Rhinolophus ferrumequinum: one gene and its partner. The protein of the gene in region 2 interacts with the protein of the main gene of each other region in a pairwise test. Links are inferred from orthologs where the notes say so. Each region holds a gene or a part of one and is shown on either strand. Other genes may lie near its edges. The genes, in order: GSTO2 and TFAP2A.

The links.
Region 1: the proteins of TFAP2A (region 2) and GSTO2 interact in binary tests that used the Homo sapiens proteins (3 or more experiments, as listed by UniProt). The two-hybrid records come from large-scale screens. The link is inferred for Rhinolophus ferrumequinum from reciprocal best matches to the Homo sapiens genes TFAP2A and GSTO2.

Annotation. Positions count from the first base shown.
Region 1 is NC_046299.1:21,188,086-21,198,536, forward strand, and holds the start of GSTO2 (glutathione S-transferase omega-2), read right to left. Parts: upstream 4,058-10,451; 5' UTR 3,706-4,057; coding exon 3,681-3,705; exon of another isoform or gene 3,633-3,680; intron 1-3,632. Other genes in the region: GSTO1 (glutathione S-transferase omega-1), read right to left, coding at 5,112-5,265, 6,954-7,060, 8,696-8,794. UniProt on the Homo sapiens protein: Exhibits glutathione-dependent thiol transferase activity. Has high dehydroascorbate reductase activity and may contribute to the recycling of ascorbic acid. Participates in the biotransformation of inorganic arsenic and reduces monomethylarsonic acid (MMA).
Region 2 is NC_046292.1:83,618,405-83,629,167, reverse strand, and holds the start of TFAP2A (transcription factor AP-2-alpha), read right to left. Parts: upstream 4,222-10,763; 5' UTR 3,116-4,221; coding exon 2,936-3,115; intron 2,511-2,935; exon of another isoform or gene 2,389-2,510; intron 2,071-2,388; exon of another isoform or gene 1,932-2,070; coding exon of another isoform or gene 1,905-1,931; intron 701-1,904; coding exon 266-700; intron 1-265.

The DNA of each region.
Region 1 (10,451 bases), on a different chromosome or scaffold from region 2:
GCCATAGGTAATATATAAATGAATGAGTGTGGCTGCATTCTAATAAAACATTGTTTAGGGAGTTTGAATTTGAATTTCATGTGTATATATTTTAATAGGCTTTATTTTTAGGGCAGTTTCAGGTTCCCATATACCTACTACCGCCACACATGCACAGCCCCCCCCCACCATCCACATCCTGCATCAGAGGCACATTTCTTACCATAGATGAACCTACGCTGACACATCATTACCACCCAAGTTTACATTAGGGCTCACTCTTGGCGAATTTTACATAATTTTCACACATCGCAAATTATGATTCTTCTCTTGATTATTTTCAACCATTTAAAAATGCTTTTAGACTGTACCAAAACCAGCAGTGGGCTGGATTTGGCTCTCTGGCCTTAGTTTGCCAATCCCTGGTCTATGCTGACAATGACTGAGTTAGTAATGGCCAAACGGAATTCCATTCGTAAGATAAAAGGTTCCTGGATTCACCTTTCCACTATGGCAAAGAAAACATATTTCCAAGTTTTGCTTTTTTTCCCTTGATCCCACCTTTTAAAGGAAATCAACTCTGAGAATTGGGACATATTGTTTATTAAAAGTGTATCTGTGGATGGGAACTCACTTTCTGAAACTCAAGCCTATTTGGTGTAGTTAGGGGAGAACAGATAGATGGAAACAGTTCTTCCTCTGAAGGGAAGCAATATAATGTCAAGGTTCTCACTTGGCACTACATTTGAACCCTGGCTTTGGCACTTATGTAAGATATCTAACCTCTCTGGCCTTCATCTTTCTCACCTGTAAATGAAAACACAAATAATACCTACTTGATGGGCTTTGAATATCGAATGAAATCATGCAGGCCATTCTCAGTATAGTAAAGCTCCATGTACTTTAAAATTAATGACTAATACTAGTGAATAAGAACACATTTTAAATAGCATTGTGCATTCCAATTTTGTATCCATAAAGATGAAATGCACTGCAATTCAACTTTGCCAACCACATCAGAATTAGAATTCAATTCAGAATATTTATTTCACCATTTACCAGTTAAATGCCAATTGAATGGGCTGAATGCTGCAGGCTACATTTCAATAATGTGGTTTTTAATCTTACCATTGAACACTATAGATTTCCTAGAAAGATTTTAATTATGACCTTTAAGCTTATCCCTACTTCCTTTTTAAGATCCAGTAGGCACCTCTTTGACATCCTCTTGGTAAATATTCCTTTTAAGTTATTATACATGTTTACATCTCTATTATACTGACTCACTCAAGCACAAAACAAATGGTAACAGGGCCATATTAACCTACTCCAATTTGGTTTCCAGCTCCCTGAAATATAATAGGATCTGTTTGAAAAATGTGGGGCTCTTGAGTCATAGGTATTAATGACTTAAGTCTTCTAGGAAAAGAATGCCACCACAGAAATAATTTCTTCACTCTGTTTAAATGAATCTGTTTTGAGAAGATGAGGAGTTTGCACTTTTCAGTTTTTCAAAAATTTTTTCTCACACCTCTCTCCAATAGTGGCAGAAACTGGAGGACACTCCTCTTAATATTTCAGAAGCCTAATTTAAATGAAAGGTTACATTATTGGGTGTTTGGATATTATTCACCAATTGGATATTGTTCACCAATTGGATATTGTTCAACAAGTTCAAAGAGTGAGATAAGTGAAGAAAAGGGTTCTATTTTCAAACAGACTAGATTCAGGACTTGTTTCCAGGAAGTTAGGATCCTAGGGAATCTTAAGTTCTAATATCTTTGGGACAACTTTTTTTTTCAGTTTTGAGATATAATTGACATACAGCTCTGTATGAATTTAAGGTGTACCACATAATGACTTGACATGCATATATTATGAAATGATTACCACAGTAAGTTTAGTTAACATCCATCTCCTTATACTCGTATAGTTACAAAAAATATTTTTTCCTCATGATGAGAACTTTTAGGATATACTCTCTTAGCAACTTTCAGCTATACCATACAGCAGTGTTAACTATAGGTAGTCATCTTGTGCATTACATCCCCAGGACTTATTTATAATAACTGGAAGCTTGTATTTTTTGACCACCTTCACCCAATTCAACACACATACACACACACACACACACACACCCCAACACCCACAAATCTGGGACATATCAAATAAGATTGTTCTTGACCAAAGTTGTGAGAGGAGGAACTTCATCTCCCCACTGGGGAAAGCAGAGTCAAAAGGAGACTTCCTTTATAAGTACTTGATTCTGCTTTCCTATCCCTATTTCTATTTTACAGGGTGTCATGCAGGAGATCCTGCTGACTACGCCAAGTGTCGTGCGGGGCGTCCAGCGGGGTCTCTGGCCCCACTCCCCACACAAAAACGCAGGATATGGCTAGGCCAAAAAGGAACACCCACGGAGCCATAAGTAGGGGAGTCATATCTCTATACTCTCGCTGGCGGCTGGGTTGGAGAAACAGGAAACAGGAGCAACACAATTCTCAACCCTCACTGCGCCGCTTGCAGGCTCAGCCACCATCTTCTTGCTAGCTCCCCCCTTCTTCTGCTAGCCTAGCCACGGCAGTTATATTCATGGCTAATGGCTCACTGGTTACAGCTGACGGCCAACTAGCCACAGCTGATGGCCATTTGATCACAGTCGATGGCCATTTACTACCTGAGCCAGCACCTTTCTATGTGAGGCTGAGAGCCTGGAAAGTGCTTTTTGGGGCTCTGTCCCCACACAGGGTGAGGGAGCAAAGACAAAAGATTTTTAAACATTTTGATGTAGTTACATTTGAATGAACAAAGGCAGATTTTCAAGATCCTGTAATCAGCCAAAGTCTAACATTTGTAAAATCAAACAACACGGTGTACATCAACACTTTTGGTTAAATCCCAAGCATAATACCAGTCGTATGTCAAAAAGGTGGCTACTATCCGCACCTGGCTCAACCTCTAAATGCTAGAAGTGATTGAGTAATGAGACTGGAGCAGGAGCATAAGTAAATTCTTATCTCAAGAATGGTCTGAATGACTAAGAGTTCAGGCTTGATTTGAATCTCCTTCAGCATGTACCAGCTGGTGACCTTGGGCAAATCACAACAACTTTCTATGCCCTAAGGTTCTCATTTGTAATTCAGAGTTGATGGTACTAACACATCAGGTGGTTTGGGGAGGATTACCGGTAATTCAGATACTGGATGAAAATTGCTTAATATTTATTACCTAATAAGCATTCAACATTAGCTATTATTTTTATTATTAGAACGCAGCATGTAAGACCCATAGTCCTCACAAAGACAGGACATTCCCTGGGACCAAATTCCCCTGCCTGCGGGTTCCCTATAACGTAGCTACTACACTGGTGGTGCCAATGCAGGGCTGAGAATTAGTGATTTTGAGTCATCTTTACCTGTTTCCAGCCAAATCAGAAAAATAAAAAAAATTTAATGTTTTTTTCCCTTTGAGTTAAAGGTATTGCTTTAAAGACCTGTTCTTTATTCTTAGATTATATAGACCTTGCACTTTTTTAAATGTTAAATTCTTTGATGAAATAGTATGGCTTTCAAAAACATATTGGGCAAAATTAAAAGTTGGCAATCCTATTCAGGGCCCCGAAATCGTGAAACTTCCCAAAATTCAGAATTGACCTTAAACCCCTCTTGCCTTCAAACGCAACGCTGGCCGGACCAACCCACCCGGAAGAGGTGACAAGAGAGACATCCCGAAGCATTTACCCCCGCGAGGCAGACGAAGCCGGAAGTAGAACGACCGCCGCAGGCGGCAGAACCCACCCCCTAGAACAAGATCCTACCCGCCAACTGGCCACGACACTAGGAGCTTCAGCCAACCCTCAAAGCCTTTGGAAGGGCTCCAGCCAATCAGTGCCGAGCTGAGCCAATGAGCAGCCGCGTTACAAGCTCCTGGATACCGGGGTCTTGGGGACTCGCAGATGTCTCATACGGGTCCGCGCAGAGCTTGGGCGTTGGTGGCTGTCGAGGGTGGGCGGCCCGAGGCCGTTTGTGAAGTCAGCCGGTTCTCAGCTGCTTGTCGATGCGGGCCCGGGATCTTCTGCATCACCATGGGGCGGGGCGGGGCGGGGCGGGGGTGGGGGGATGGGGGGTGCTCATTTCAAATGTGGACTTCCCGGCCCACCTCGGACCTACTGAATCTGAAATCCAGCGGTGGACCTTACGTGATTGCTATGCGCTCTAACGTTTAAGTACAGGAAACCAGGCTGTATTGGGACAGGCTGATCTATATAGCCCTCTAATTCTGTTAGTATGAACAGAGTACTGGGTGTGTTTTCCAGATATTTCTGCCAGCGTTTTAAGGCCTCATTTAACCTCGCGACCTTAGTTGAATCATCTGTAGAATAAAAGACTCCGACCCACCTTCTCCTGGAGGTGATGGGATGACAAAAAATTAAATAGAAGCCCAATTGGCTATGGAAGTGTATGGAAGATGGCATTAATATTTCTGAATGTGAATATTACCTATTACTCATCCAGCCTTCCATACTGAATTGAGGGATGTGGTCCTCACAGTATTTAATTATATACGGGACACCTGCTATATGCCCAGCATGGGATTTGGTAAGAAGGATTTGAATGGGATAGAAATTGGAGATTGGGAGACCAAATAGGTCACCTAGTCACCTGGCTTTGAGGTGATGTGGGTTTGCTCTTCAGTGGTAACAATAGCAATAAAGGAATGAAATGCAGTTGATGATGGAAAGGAAAGAATGAGGAATTGAAATTTTCTCAACTTAGAATTCTGAAGACAAACTTGAAAGGGCATCTTTGAAATGACAACAGGGTATCCAAGTGGAAATGTCCTAAGGGTAGTTAGAAATCTAGATTGAAGTCTAGATCTCACTAGAGAGAATGATTTAGAGATTTTCAGCACAGACTCTGTTAGAACCCTTAGAGTCATGTGAGCATCTGGAGCAGGAAATGTGTTTACATTCTGCGGGAGGGCCTTGAGGAAACCTCACAGTTAAGCTGTGATGTCAACTCAGAGAAGGTGATCCAATGACACATGAGAGCACTCAGTAAAATTAAAGCATGTTGTTATTCCTATTAGTGAAGGAAAATATCAGACATATCTTCATTGCTGACTTGCCCCCATCAGAGCCCATAGTCACAGGCCTGGAGGTTATCCTGCAAGTAGAGATCTAAGAAACCTCGATAGGTCTTCACATCAAGGAGGAGGGCTGATACTGTGGGATCTTTCCTCATGGCTGCCATCCAGAGCTTAAGTTTTGGAGTGTGGTCTACACACCTGTGGGAGATGGAAAGAATGAAGGCATGAGTTAGACTAAGTAGGAAGGCATTGCAGTCTCCTATATATCATCACTCTGAAGTTTCATTTTCTCCTCTAACCTTTTAAAGTAGTTCTTTAAAAATATTTCTTTAAAATTCATGTAATCATAGAATACAGGCAGGCCTTGTTTTATTGCACTTCTCAGATACTCATTTTTTACAAACTGAAGGTATGGGGCAACCCTGCATTGAACAAATCTATCGGTGCCATTTTCCCAAGAGCATTTGTTCACTTCGTGTCTCTGTGTCACATTTTGGTAATTCTCAGAGAATTTCAAACTTTTTCATTATTTGTTATGGTGCTCTTTGATCACTGATCTTTAATGTTACTAGGGCAAAACTCTCTAAAAGATTATGACTCACTGAAGGCTCAGATAATGGTTAGCATTTTTTGCAATAAAGTATTTTTTAATTAAGGTTATGTACATTGTTTAGACATAAAGCTACTGCATACTTAACAGGCTACAGTATAGTGTAAACAACTTTTATATGCATTGGGAAACCAGGAAATTTGTGTGACTCACTTTATTGCAATATTTGCTTCATTGCAATGGTCTGGAACCAAACCTGCAATATCTCCAAGGTATGCCTGTATTAGATTTGGAACATGTTGTAGAGGTCTTTGTTTTATGGAACAGTAATTTTAAAGTAAAATGACTTGCTCAGTTAATGTAAGAACTTTTGCAAACTGAGACTGGTAACTTTTTTAACATGAAAGACAACCCATCTATGGCCAGATTGTAACTAAAAGGAAGGGATTAAGAAGTACAAATTGCCAATTACAAAAAAAGTTACAGGGCTATAAAGAACAGCACAGGTAATATAGTCAGTAATACTATATAAATGGTGTCAGATGGGTACTAAACTTATTGGGGTGAGCACTTCATAAGTTGCATAAATGTCTAATCACTATGTTGTACACCTGAAACTAATATAATATTGTATGTCAACTGTAATGAAAACTTAAAAAAAAAAAGAGAGATCAAACTTTTTTTGCCAGCGGGGAAGTGGTGATAAAGGTGAAGGGGGATATAGTCAATAATATTGTGGTCAGTTTGCATGGTGACAGATGATTACTAGACTTATTGTGGTAATCACATTGTAAGGTATATAAATGTCGAATCATTACACTGTACACCTGAAACTAATACAGTATTGTATACCAACTATACTTAAAAAAATGTTTTTAATAAATAAAAAATTTTTTAGAGAATAAAGAAAAAAGAAGTAACCCTGAATGCTCTAAGCTCTGAGTTGGGAGTAAGCCAAAGTGGCTGCCAAACTTCAAAATACACAATTTGGAAAACAGTATGGGAATCTTACTGGTAAATGGGAGGTAGCATTGATCATACACTCCTGCATGACAGCCTTATAGAAATGTACATCCTTATGGATTTTTAATCAGGAGGGAAGGAATAAATTACTTTTAAAACATTTTACTACATGTCACAGAACTCCTGCCCCTCCTAAATGGGGAGGAGTGGTGAGTATAGGTAGATAATATGCCCAAGTCTTTCCTCCTGTCTGCTTGTTCCCATTCATACCAGTTGTATGAAATATTTTAATTTCTGTGCAGAAAAAAGGTCGACATATACTATTCCAATTATCATTATCCTAAAATATACACAAAACATTCAAATGTCTTACTCAGTTAACTCCAGTCCTTCCAGCCGTTCAAACCAGGGCCAGATGAGGTAATCAATCATAGAAAGCGAATTGCCTCCAAAGAAGGTTGTCTTCTTATTGGTCAGAACCTGAACATTAAACAGCATAAGAGTACTTATTGTGCAGCTAGTAAAACATCATCAGAGATGACACAGGTGAGTTAAGTAGAGTGGTGAGAGCAGCAGTATTTACCCTGACATATCCAAGTTGGCTTTTTGTCTATTTGATCAGTTGAAACTTTAGAATCTGTTGGTTTGAGATGAAGCAACAACAATCAACAAAATAAACTGGAAAATGGAGAAAAATAAAATAAGGGATAGAGTACAAAATATTTGTAATAAACAAAAGACTGGTATTCAAAATATAGAAAGAACTGGGAATCAAAAGAAAAAAGGCAAACACCCATTAGAAAATTGGGCAAGTCTTGCACTTCACAAAACAGGATGTCCCAGAGGCCAATGACCACTTGAAAAGGTGCTTGCTCCAACTACATTAGTGATCAGGGAAATGCAAATTAGAACCAAATGTAACACCACATTCTAATACATCCATTAGAATTGCTAAATGAACAAGACAAAGCAAGAGTGTGGAACCACAGCTGATAGGAATGTAAATTGGTACAACCATGTTTTAACAGTATCTACTAAAGCTGAGTGCATATATTCTCTATTACCCAGTAATTCTACTTGGAAATGTGAACATATATTCACCCAAAGATAAGAATGTTCACTGCAGCATTATTTGTAACATAATTTGTAATAGCCCCAAAGTGGAAATGTTTACTGTCCATCGGGAGTAAAAAGGATTAAAAAAAATTGTGGTACAGTCATAAATTGGAACACTATACAAAGAATAGGAATGAACTATGTACAACATATAGGTATACGGACTTCACAAACCTAATACTGTATGAAAGAAACCAGACCCAATTATATGATTCCATTTGTATAAGGCACAAAAAATAGCCAAAATTAATATTCTGTTTCTTGATTTGGGTGCTCGTTCCATGGCTGTGGAAGGACAAATAGTATGTTTCTAAAATTTAAGAAGGTGAATTGGTATTACAGTTTTGTCAAAGCAGGGAACAGAATATTTTCTGGATAACACCAAACCAACTTAACTTTTATAAACTAGTTTTTCTCAGGGCACACATAACATTCTGCATTGTAGACTGATTGAATCTACTTGAGTATTTGGAATGTCTCAAGGCCAAGAGGAAGACTCAATCTAAAGACCCAAATGGCAGCTCTACCCGAAAGGAGATGAAACAAAAGTGTCTGTAAGATTCATGGCAAATGCTTTGTGGTGGAAAATGTTTATTATATAATACTAAGTGGAAAAAGAACACAGAATGGTATCTATGCTCTGATTATAGTTATGTACATTTTTTTTAATATATGGACAAAGACTGGAAAAAAGAAAATAGGTGACACATTGTAGAAATGTTGGTGAATATCTCTTTTTCCTTCTTATTTTAATGTCACTACAACAAAATGTTTTAAAAGCGAGCTCATGACACAATATTTTTAGGTGTTTTGGTTTACATCTTAAACACAGTAGCTTATGGCAATCTGTTGTAAACTAAAAATTTTTACTTGGTATTATTATTACTAATTGCTATAAAGTGTTTGGGAAATGGTAATATGAAGAAAAGAGTAGAAGGAAGAAGAGAGTAGATACAGTGTATCATTTACTGATAAAAGCTAGGAGAAGTGATTGATTACCTCCTCAAGCTTGCTGAATTCTTTACGAAATTCTTCTTTTAGGCCAGACCGGTCTTCCTTATTTTTACTTCTAAGAAAGCTTCCCACCAAAGGTGGTATCTAGATAGAGAACAATTTCTTAGTTTATCACGGGAGGCTAATTATACCGGCCTCATATAAAAACACAATAGAACCCTCATAGTCCCAGTATCAGTGTTCAAGAAACTTCAAGGGTGCACTAATTCCTGTGTTCACAGAGATTATATGCTGATCTTAGTATAACAGTTTTGTGGCCTAAGATATTGTGTCGGTCAGGATTTTATAAGTTCCAAATCATAGAACGCACCGTGACAAGTTTGAGCCAAAAAATATCTTTAAAGGACACTGATTATCTCACTGAATTGTTGAGAGGCTGAACAAATATGCTTGGAACTAGACTGGAACATTCCAAAATCATGCTCAGACTGGCCTGATGGAAAGCACTCTGAAACTAGAGTTTCTAGTGCCGGTGAGCTGAAACTAGAGGTTACAGTTTGAGTCACTGCCAGAACCTGGACTCTCAAGTAACTAATGCCACTAGCACCAAAGCTGTTTCTACCCCGGGAATTTAACCTTGCAACCACCCACCACAGCTCCTGAAAGCCAGAAGCTCTGCCACCAGCCACTCACCAGCAGAACCAGTGCCCCCCACCAAGCCTATTTCCTCACATGGCTCGTTTCTGAATTGAACTCTACCATGTGTCTATCTGACTGGAGAGCCTAGGTCCCGGGCCTTGGCCCCAGCTGCAGAGGGAGCTGGGGAAGAGAATTTTTCTTCCCCAGCTCCCTCTTAGGGAAGACATGCAAAGTCTTCAAAGGGGACTGACTACCTGAAGACCTGACAGGTGTAGTGTCACATGCTTTAATGCTTGTGGTGGGTGAGTGTTTTAATACTTCGGTCTTTGATATCATCTCACCGCAAGAGAAGTCCACTCATCCCAGTTTAAGTAAGCAGGCACTCATAAAAATATGGATACTTGTAAAAATACGAAGTCTCCTGAAATCCCACTGATGTCAGTATAGCTTGCCCTCATTGGAACTAAAGATTTGCAGGCAGCCATTCGTCCACATTTCCATCTGGGCCTGCCTGGTCTTTCCTCTGCTTCTCCTTAAATGTCTATTCCATATTATTTTCTATATACAGTTCCCTTTGCAGTGCTCTGAATTTCCACTTGCTTAAAATTTTATTTTTATGGGGCTTTGGTTTGTCAAATCTCCAATTATTAATATATATATGGCTCCAAAGCTTTCACACCTTTACTGCCTTAGTCTCTGTATCTCAGTTCCAAATTTCTAAAAGAGAAGATGATTGAGCTGGGGGTGTGAGTGGGGGCATTTCTGGTTTGCTGAGCTGTGGCCAGAAGGGTGGGGTCATATGGTACCTAAGACCACCTTTTCCCTGAATGTGAGCAGGAAAGTAATAGTGCACATCTCCAGCTTTTAGCTCATTTTCTTTCTAGATGGTACAATGAATTTCGTTACTTTTTTTTTTAATTCTCCAACATCTTTCTTGTAAATGCCATATTCCCTGTCCACCATTTTTGACAGCAGCCATCTCTACTGTTCTTTGCCCCTCATCCTGCTAAGCCAGACAACTCCCTCTTCCTTCTCCCTTTGCAATGTCTTCTTAAACAATATGTCTTCCCTGTAAGTCCCATCTTCGAGTATTTCTTTAACCATTTCTTTCTCTAGAGACAAGGTTTTTTCTTTGTATGCTGACATTGTACGCGATTACAGA
Region 2 (10,763 bases):
GTGGAAATGGTAATGCAGGCATTGTTTGGAGGAGCTCCAGGAACCATTGTTCTAGGGGCAGAACTCTCAATTTCTTTTTAATTTTTTAATTCGGTTGTCCATGTGGGTCCTGAAAGCGCCCGCCCAAAATCTAAAATGACATTTTGAAAAAGTAAACGCCACTGAGGAAAACCCGGGCCCACCGGCTGTATGTTCCCGACATCTTCTCTAGGGGTGGGTGAGTAGGGGCTGCACTCCCTCTCGAGCCATCCGCGCGGCCTCTTACCGGGACGTCCTCGATGGCATGAGGTAAGGAGTGGATTGGGAGGTCTCCGAGTCCTGAGCCAAGCCCGTGTGGGCCGTGCAGAAGGTCCTCGTGTCGCCGGTAATCCCTGCGAGGATCCAGGCCAGACAACTGGTGGGGCAGCCCCCGGTGCGTGTGCAGGAGCCCTGACTCCTGGCTCTGCCTCTGGCCGGGCCAGCCCGGGTGCTGCGGCTGCGGCTGGGCGTGCAAGGGGTTCAGGCTGTAGGGGTCGTTGACGTGGGAGTAAGGATCTTGCGACTGGGGGTAGATAGGCTGGTAGGGTGGGGGAAAATAGGGGGGCTGGAAGTCGGCATTGGGGGTGTGGGACAGCGGCGGGGCGCTCGTGTAGGGAGATTGACCTACAGTGCCCAGCTGGGGCAACCGTGCAGTCCCGTTGCTGGTGCCGTCGTGACGGTCCTAGAAGAGAGCGAGAGCAAGGGGGAAGAACAAGAAATCAGGCGTCGAGTTACAGCTTTCCACACTAAATCCACTCCGCAAGACTGGGTGGGAAACCGCCCCTTCCCGACGGCAGGCCGCCGGAAGAAATGAGCTCTAAGTTGTTCATTTCGGAAAATACCCCCGAAGTGAAACGGGCCCTTCCAAAAACTCAAGGAATTAAGCTGTGCAAATGTGGAGGCATAAAAGAGAGTCTCCATAGCCTTTTCTTTCAACGGGGGGAAAATATAAAAAAGGGCCTCCTAGAATACAGCCCGTTAAGCTGGGGTGTGAAACCTCCCTTAAGCAAGATTAAAATCCCTGCCAAATATTAAGCAGTAGAAGCGGCCTTTTCTTTCCCCCGTATTTGAACTTGCCTGCTAGTGCGTTATTGTTTACCCTTTTCCATTTATTTGGAGGAAAAAATCATACACGTTCAAAGACTATTGGCATTTCATGACTATTTAAATAGAAACATATTTTGTAGAGGGGCTGTAAAGAAAGCACACGTTCAAATTACCAGCTTAAAGAAGGTTTTAACTGCAGGTTGGGGGTCTGTCTTTTCCGCTTCCTCAGTTAGGAGCCTTTTTCTCCACAGGGTCGGTTTATGATATGAATGGGGAGAAGGGGACTTCAAGTCAAGGTTTAAAATAGAAAGATTCAGCCTTATTGGGTTTAAAAGAGAGAAGTGCACCCCGGGGCGGAGGCCCCCGCCCCTTTCACCCCAGCCCCAAAGGGCAGAAGAAACGCCTGACTTTATGTTCCTCTATTGCAATTCACTTGCAAAACAAGCGAACAGAGTTGGTTCCAGGGAATGCCCCGGCCCCGAGGGTAAGGGGCACTCTGGGCTGCGTTTTTACTGCAAACGGATTAAGCTTCAAATGTTGAGCACATCTCGAGAACAAGTGAAGACGCAAGGAAATAAAGATGAACGTGGAGAGAAACATGCCTTGGGAAGTAGCTGCGAGGTAGGTCTGCGCGCGGGAGAGGTGGAGCGGGGACGCGGGGTAAAGCATTCGATTTGAGAATGGAAGAGAGAAAAGTGGAAAGAAGAAAATGCAAATGGAAAGGGGTGCCCTGATGGAAACCTGGGCGTGAAACCCGAGGTTTTGGGCAGCTCCGTAGCACCAGGTTTCCAGAATAGAATTCCTAAGGAAACAGGGATGGGGTGGGGGATGGGACTCACCATAGCTGAAAAACTGTGAACTAACATCTGCGAAGAGTCTGGGGTAACGAGTCAGGGTGGAAGAAACCAAGCAAGCCTGGAGAGCCCGGCTGCCCCGCCGCCCGAGTACGCCCCACACAAAAGGCGCCGGGAGCCCCGCGCCACCCAGAACTCCAGTCACCGCGCCGACGCTCGCCCGAGCGCTGGAGCCCCGCTCTGGTCCATCCGAACTTGAACCACCGATTCGAGCGGCGCCTTCAGCTTGTCGAACCCACGGTCTCTATCCTGCCGTGATCGGTTATGATTCAAAGTTCCTTAGAAAATGAAAGGCCCCAAAAAAGGAAAAGAAAAAGTGTGTGTGTGTGTGTATGTGTGTGTGCGCGCGTGTTCCTTAATCCGTGTCTCCCCCTCTTTTCTTAGCGGCGGCTTCGCTTGAGCTTCTAATAACCACGCTGGGCAGCGTTCCTGGAGCCTCCTAATAGCAGATATTCATGACTATTAATATTACACGAATACTTAATAAGGGAAGAATGCCTGGAAATCGAGCGTGAAGCGGAGAGGCAACTCGCGCCGGAGCCGGCTCTCAATGCAGTCCATTGACGGGAGCCTCAGTGTAGCAAATCGGAGGTGGGGAGCGGGAGCGCGAGAGACAAAAAGCGGGCGAGAGAGGGAGCGGGCGAGCGCGCGGGGGGCCGCCGCGCGGCGTCTGGCGAATCACAGGGAAGGGGCAACATTTTAAAAGGTTGCAGGGCATGCAAAAGTGAAAGAGAAAGAGGGAGAGAGGGAGACGAAGGGAGAGAGCGCGGAGAGGGAGAATGTGTCTGCGTGCGTGTGTGAGAAAGAAAGTGTGGGCGAGGGAGAGGAGCCCGGAGTGGGAAGAGGGGAGGGAGGGAAGGAGGGAGAGGCCGAGAAAAGGAAGGGAGGGAAAGAGGGAGGGAGGGAGGGAGGGAGGAGGGGGCCGAGTCGGAGCTCACGGAGGGGGAGGCCGCGGGGGAGGGGGAGGGGGAGAGGAAGCGAGAGAGGACAATCGGACCTAAAAGACTGGGGCAGACCTCGGGATACCGTGGGGGCCGTGCGTCGCGGACAGGAGCTGCCGGCGACCGCGTCCAGGCGTTCATCCGGCTCTCGGCACCCGCGGTGTTTCCCCGCCCTCTCCGGCCGCGGGCTCCTCCGCTCCGCAGCCGGGCCTGGGACTTGGGATTCTGCTGCCGGCTGCCGCGCCGCTCCTCCATAACTCGGCGCCCCTCCCCGGACCGGCCCTCGCCTCCGCCGCGGAGCGAGTTTCCCTCGGACACCCTGCGCTGTGCTCTCTGCGGCAGCTGCCGCCCCGCCCTCGGCTCTCCAGGGCAGGGGCTCGGGGACCGGAGCCCGGACGCGGCCCGGGGCAGGCAGAGATGCGAGGCGGCCCAGCCTGGGCGCTGCTGGCACGGGCTCCCGGCTCCCGGCACAAACCCGTCCGACTGGCTGGGCCACTCCCGCCCGACGCCCCCCCTGATGACACTGCTCGCTCTCTCCCAGCGCGGCAAGGCTGCCGCCGCTGCCAGTCTGCCCGCCGGGTTGTCAGAACAAGCGGCACCTCGCCTCCTGCGTGTCTCTGCAGAGCCCCGACATAATTAGACAGCCCCAATCCGGCTCGGAAACCCGAAATCCCTGCTCCGGCGCTCTCCCACCGCAGTCAAAGTTATTGAAACAGCCTTCACTCTATTCTCTTCCTCGTCTCGTTTCTGTTTTCCTTTTCTGCCTCACACACACATTCACATGCGCCCCCACAGGGTCTCTCTCTTGGGGTGCAAATTCATCGCCTCCCACCTAGGTCCCATAGGCACCTAGCGCGGCGTGGAAGTTCGGACTCGGCGCTGGAAGCTGGGTTTCGGCCTTCGCGAAAGTGAATGCCCGAGCCCCGGGCTACTGCGGCGACCAGGACAATAAACCCTCGGAGACTTAGGGGCAGAGTTTCACCCCGACTAGTTCTCAAAGGTTCCCCCATCCTGAAAACAAAGCAGCTGGTCTGACGTGGGTGTCTGCGCCCTGCACTGCGCACCACAGGAGTCCCCAGAGAAGCGCGCGTCCCGGTGGGATGTCACCCCTTGCCCCATGGGGGGCGGGGAGCGGGGTCGGACGAAAAGGAAGGGCCCGGGAAACGAGTGAGATTTCAAATAGTCTACAGAAAGAACGGGGGAAAGGGACGGTGACACAACGTTCACATAAAACCAGGTTCTGATTTCAAGTGAAGACAAGACCCCCGCCACTGCGTCCTCACAGACCTTCACGCCTGGCTTTCCCACTTCAAATGCCAAAAAGAAAAAAAAAAAGAAGAAGAAAAATAGCCAAAGCAGGGACTCCCACCTATTTATTTAGGTAATCTCCGGCGCGGCCCCCTCCATCTTCCCCTCCCGTGAATCATCGGATCATTTCAGCGGGGATTGTGAGGGAGGTTGGGGCGGCGGCCGCCAGGCCGGGTCCCAGCGCCTCCCGCGGGCGGACCGGTGGTGCTGGGGCTTCCCCGGCTGCCCCAAGAAGCCGAAATCCGGAGACCCTGGGCTTTTAAATGGGTTCCAGTGCGGCGCGCTTTATTGGCCCGGCGGGCTCTCCGCACTGGAGGTCGCATGCAGCCCCGCCAGGTCACACAGCCGAGTGCTGGGCTCCTGTAGGGGCAGATGCGTGGGGACCCGCAGCCAGCAGACTCCGTGTGGCTCAGTCCTCCACCCCCACCCCAGGGATGCGCCGACCAAGTAGCTCAGAGGGAGAAGCGGCTTAGAACTTCTTGAATAACGTAGACTACCTGCGGCGGGCCCCGTTGTGATTTGGGAAATGAGTGCTCTCAAAGTGAACCCGCTAACTAGGAGATGCAACCCAGGCTCAGACCGAAGTGTGCGGACCCCTTCTCCAAACAGAAATGAGCCTTTTAAGAAAGGGGGGCGGGGAGGACGGAAGCAAGGAAAAATAAATAAATAAAATAGGGAATATTAAGGATCAGAAAGGAGGTTAAAAAGGGGAAAAGGGTTTTTTTCTCTTTCCTTTCTCTTCCTGGTACTTGGGCCCCAAGAATCTCGCTGGTGAGACACGCAGAGTGCACAGGCGCGTGCCCAACTGCCAGCAATTGCTTCAAAAAATCCATGCTTGTCTCTTCGCTCTACTCTTAGACACAGCCAACATTGGTCAGAAAAAGGGAGAAAGTGGGACATGGGCTTCCAAGGAGGGAAATGAAAAAGGGAGCATCCAACATCCTCCCTCTCCAGCCTCTCCCCTGCGTTCATCGGGCGAATCCGAGAGGCGAGCGCTGCGCTTGGGAAAGTTTGTCTCACCCGCGTTTCTCAGCTGGAGGCGAGGAGGTGCGGGAAGGTAGAGCTCGGAGCCTGAGGCCGCGAGGATAACTGAGCCAGCGCCGCGCTTACCTCGCAGTCCTCGTACTTGATATTATCCGTCAGTTTCCAAAGCATTTTCATGGATCGGCGTGAACGGATTTGCCCCCTCTCCGCCTCGCACCCAAGTGGAGCTACTCTCTGGGTAAGCGCAAAGTGCAGGCTGCGACGGGGAGCGGAGGAGGAGGAGGAGGAGGAGGGAGGAGGAGGAGGAGGGAGGAGGGAGAGGAGGAGGAGGGCAAAAAGGAGGAGGAGGAGGGTGAGAAGGAGGAGGAGGAGGAGAGAAGGGATAGAGCTCCCGTGTGCGCTCGGAGATCTCCCTCTAATGGTAGAAACTTTTCCTTTTTCCAGCTCTTTACCAACAGCCTAATCGCCTCATTAGCATATCAACAATAGTCCAATTACTCGCCAGCACCACAATCTGCCGCCGGCCGCTCCGACCCAGGTATAAAGGCCTCTCCGAGCCGCGAACTTGCTCCTAGAGCGCACGCTTGCCTGTGAGCCGAGGAAATCTCCCCTAGCGCCGCCGCACACCCCTGTCCTAACTGTGCCACCCCCCCTCCCATTCCTCCCCACTCCCCTTCCCCTCCGTCGCCTCCTCGCGGGAGATGCCCTGAGCAAAGGCCGGACGCTGCGCAGGGCCCGAGCGGCCGCGCCTGGGGCTCGGCTCTCAGCACCTTTTTCCCACCCCTGCTGCCACTAACGGCGCTGTCCTTTCGGCCCCGTCCACTTGTATTAGAAATTATTATCTCTTTCGCAATTAAATATAACCACCAAACCAAGACCAGCGAAGTCACTCCAGGATTTTTACCCAACAAGAGATCGCCTCCGCTCGGGGCAGCACCACCTCAGGCCGCAGAGCCTTGGGAGTTTTATTGGCTTTGCACTTTCCTCCAGGTTGGAGATTTTGCCAAACGGTTCCAGTCGCTCGGCTGGGGTTTGCGATCCTTTAATTGCCGCGTGTAAAATAAAAATTGTACCCTGAAAAGGTTACTGAACAGCTCTGGGGGTTAAATGATCTTCCTCTCGTTTGTATGTAGCTAGGGCCGAGTGACACACCAACATGGTGTTTGGGCTGAGGGTTTCCCGGATGCGACATGCAGAAGGACACAGAACTCCTATGGAGACTCACAGTCGCTTCTGGAGTTGAGCCGAAATACTGACATGTGAGCACTGTGTCATGCATGCATCAAAATAAATCGCTGGGAACCAACTCTTCGCTGTGCTAATCTGCTCCAGTTTTCCCAAGATCCCCCTTTTTAATTAAAGCAGGAAGAGTTCCTTCATGATTTGGTGATGTTACTAACGCGGGCGCACTCGCCGCGCGGTGCCCGGCTGACGCCGAACCCTGAGGCCCGGCAGCTACCCCCTCGTGCAGGTTGGCCAGTCTAGGCTATCCCGCTCTACACGGGAGCCTGCTCGCCCCACCGGGGCTTTACATTTTTTTCTTCTGTTTTAGTGAATTTTTTTAAAGGAAGAAATAAAATACAAAGATGTGATTCTCGAAATACAGAGTAATTCATTTCTCTGGCCGAGCTTCCTCATTTGTCCTCCATAAAAAAGTTTCGCTCTGTCTTTTTCCCACTCGAACACAGCAAACTCCCCAACAAGAGTAGGTCTCGCCTCAGAGCTGCTCTACTAACGACCCCTGTGCCTTCTGGGCCTGTTTTCTGCAAATCCCCAGGCCTCCCAGGTTTCCATACTGCGAACTCGAAGTGAGGTAGAAACTGTTGAAAATCTGAGCGTTCCCTAACAGGTGGAAAAAAGGCAGAAGGAGAGAGTGCCCCTCTCCGCCCCCCTCCCCCAGCCTGGGGAAGGGAAATTCTCCCTCCAGAAGACCGCAGCAAATTTCTCAAGCCACGCAGAGTAGGCCAGAACCCCTCCCCCACAAAAGTTAGGAGGACTAGGGCTAGAAGAGGGAATCAGAGCCCGGGGACTCCCTCCGGAAGCCCTGGGTGTTGCCCTGCCCTCCCTTCCCTCCCTGAACACTAGCACAGTCTCGAGGCTGAACCTAGTTCTCCGCTCCCCACCTCACTCCACTCTGGAAAGTCAGCTCTAGTGCTAGCACCACTCACTCTGTGGGGCTGCCCTGGGGTTCACCTCAGCGGCTTGAAGTCGGGAGATGGGCCGCCTGGGGGACTGACACCTTCCCAGCGGTGGCCGCAGCCGCAGAGCGTGATCTGTAGGCCAAATCGTAGGCCTGGGAGCATGGATTTTCCACCCCCAGAAGTCGCCACAGCGTGCTTAAGGGAACTCTAAGTTTCGCTTTCTTTCTTTCAGTTTGTGGGCTGAGGAAGGCATTGGCCCTTCATCTTCTCCACGACCCCCCACCTTGCTGTCCCGCGCCCCGCAGATCTCCGGCTCCGCACCCGCCGGGGCTGCTAAACTGTTGTTGTATTCCCGCCGAGGGCGCCTTTGAGGTGCAGATCGGGGCCTGCGGGCTCAGCGCCGCCGCCAGTGTTATGGGCACTGAAGAAAGGCCAGGGCAGGCACCCCGGTCGCCCCTGAAGCCAGCGGAGCCGCGTTGGTGTGAGCGTCATTACCACGACAAGTCGCTTGATTGCATGTCAATGCTGCGGCCTCGCCCGGACCCCAGGACAGCAGCGCCAGGCCTGGGGTTAGAGGTGGGGGTCCAGGCCCGATTTGGGGGCGTGGGGGGGAAGAGCAAGTATCTGTATGAGAGACAGAGACACCAAGAGAAACAAAGAGACGGCGAGGGGCCACAATGACTCTGTTCTCTCCAGTTGTCACCACCCAGTAGGACCCCGGAGCCCAAAAGGCCAACCAAGCTCGGCGGAGCATCCCGCCCCTCCTGGTCCCAAATCTGCCGTACCCCCACCCACCCAGATCCCCGCCTGAGCCAGGCCCATGGCTCACTCCTTTCCTCTTCAGGCTGTAATCTAGCTGCTTCGGAACCTTAGTCGGGCCCACTAGAGGCCCAGACCCAAACCCTGCCTGCACTCCCAGCGCCTTCTCACTGCAGAGGAATTCTGCAGCAGTTTTTCCGCCTCACAGAGGAAACCCGAAAAACCTCAGCCAAAGAACTTTATCCAGTTTTCACCCTCCAGAGAAGAGAATGAAGGGCCCTGAGGCCCACAGAAGCAGGGAGAGAAAGGTGTGCTTTCCCAGGACTTGTGTTTGGTGTGGGATTTGTATCCTTAAACCACAAAGTTAGTGTAACTTTGGGGAGGAAGTTTCATTTAGTGATATTTAACTGGGGGCAGAGGTATAAAAGAGCTCACGGTTGATAAACACAACAATTGAGCGCAAGGAAAGAAATATTGCAATATGACTTCCTTTCCCCAACCCCAGGGAATGTGGTGAAGACCGAACTTCTCCGAACTTTACTTCTAATGGCCTAAATCTGAAACAAGCGAAAGAACTCGCCCCAGAAGGAGCAGGGCCTCGACTTTTCTTTGGCAAATCGGGGCGTTTGGTTCGAATCTCCCTACACACTTAGGCGAGCAGAACCTCGCCCTTATCAGGCCTCGCTTTGCTGGGGCGAAAAGAGGGCCCCGGGGTTCCCATTACGAAATCGACAACAGGGGAGAGGCTGCTACCCTCGCCAACCTGGCCAAAGCCGCCCTAGTTCCCACAGGGGAAACATCTGGAAGTTAGAAGGAGAGCGCTGGGCGAATGCTCCCGTGGCCGGGGTCCGGGTTCGTGGTTCAGGGCGGGCAGGATCCGGAGCCTAGTTGGCCTTGTGGTGCCTGCGGCCTAGCAGGGCCAAGTGTAGCAAGCTTTGGTTTCGGCAAATCTTAGACCTTCTTCTTTATAATCCACCATTCAACCCCCATCCAGTCACCCCCATCCGGAGCCCAAGCAGAGAAAACTGGCTTCAGGAAGCGGACTGAGAAGCTAAACTTTGCGCAAACTCTTTGAAGTATATCCGAAAAGAACGTGCTCGCCGCGCGCCTCTCCGGACCCCTTTCCATTCTCCACACCTCCTAGGTCCCCAAAACTTGGAGGCACAAGGAGAGACAGGTGCACCAGAACCCCACCTCACGCGCAGCCCTGGGGTCTGGGGCAAGACCTAAAGCATTGCAAGCAGGGAACACTCATCACGGCGCACCGCAGCCTCCGCCCTGCGCCCTCCCCACTCCTGAATTTGTCATCCTCCCCAGTTTCTACTTGGGGTTTGGGAGAAGGCTGTAGCGCAAACCACAAGTGACCCCCAGGGCCACTTGTAGAGCGTACGCCGAACTTTCCCGAGAGCCGGGCCCCGCGGGCAGCGCACGTTGCCCCCAGCGCAGCTGCCGCCGCCTGCGCGCGTTTTTCCTGTCCTCTTTCTCTCCTGGGAACACTCCTGGGCGCTGCCAGGCGCGCCTCACCTACTACTCTCCTGCCCTGGGCCACGGCTCTTCCTCTCCGCCTCCCCCTCCCGCCCCCCTCCCCCGCTCCACCCCCGCCCACCTCGGCCCCAGCCCAGTCAAACCCCCGTACCTGCCAGTCCCCCATTTTGGCAAGTATGGACATCGCGGCTCGGCGCTCCTGGCGACTGGTCCCCGCCGGGCATGGGCTATAGGGCTCGACCGGGCCCGCTCCTTGGAATCGCTTGGGCAAATCCTCCTTTTTTACCTGCTCACCAACATCTCACCTGGTCATAAAGAGCTGGGTTGCTACCTGCCGACGCATGCGCGTTAGCCCAGGAATTCACTCCGCCAGCCCTAGTCCCAAGCGCCTCGCGGAGCTGACCTGGGAAGTGATGGATTTATAGCCGCGGCAATCTCGCCATCAGTTCCAGCTTTTCCCAACAGCCCCAACCCGCTTTCCCGGTCAGTCCCTGACCGGGGAACCGAGGCAGACTGCCTGCTGGGGTGTGCTGGGTGCGATGTGAGCGCGAGTGGCTGTGTTTACGCACTCGAGCAATAGGGGCATCTACACTCTTCCCATGGCTCTCCTCCCCCTCGAAACTTTGGGGCTTGGAGAGTCTCCACCCCGAGATGGGGGGTTGGAGGGCTAGGCCGGGAGATGGGGCCAGTCCCGATAGGTCCCGCGCATCTGGATGCAAGCAGTGGGGCCCAGATCCCTGTCCCCGGTTCCCCACCGGCCCACCAGGTTCATTCAGAACAGTCCCGAGGTTCAGAACAGTTCCCGGCCTCGCGAATCCGAGTCGGCAGCCCCCAGGGGTGCTTCAGCGTCGGATCCCAGATCAAAGTGTTTCTCAGTAGGTGAAGAAGTTCACGATTCTGTTTCATTTCTGGCTTCTGGATTTAGTCTCCTCCCACCGCAGACACACACACAAACACACACACACATGCACACTGACTTGCACACTCATACACTTGTATTTAAGGTCCACCTTCTCTTCCTTTCACAGTTTCCCGCCCCTCCCCCACCTCTCTATGCCTTCCCAGCTCTTTATCTATTTCACTAAAAACTTTTTAAAGGGAGAAATGGGGGTGTTGGTGGTTGTGGGATGGGCAACTGAGGTTTGGGCTGGGGTTTGCTTTCCCATGACAGATAAAATCACTCAAGTGATTTCACCGCTGCTTCTAATTAGAAGGGAGCTTTAAAA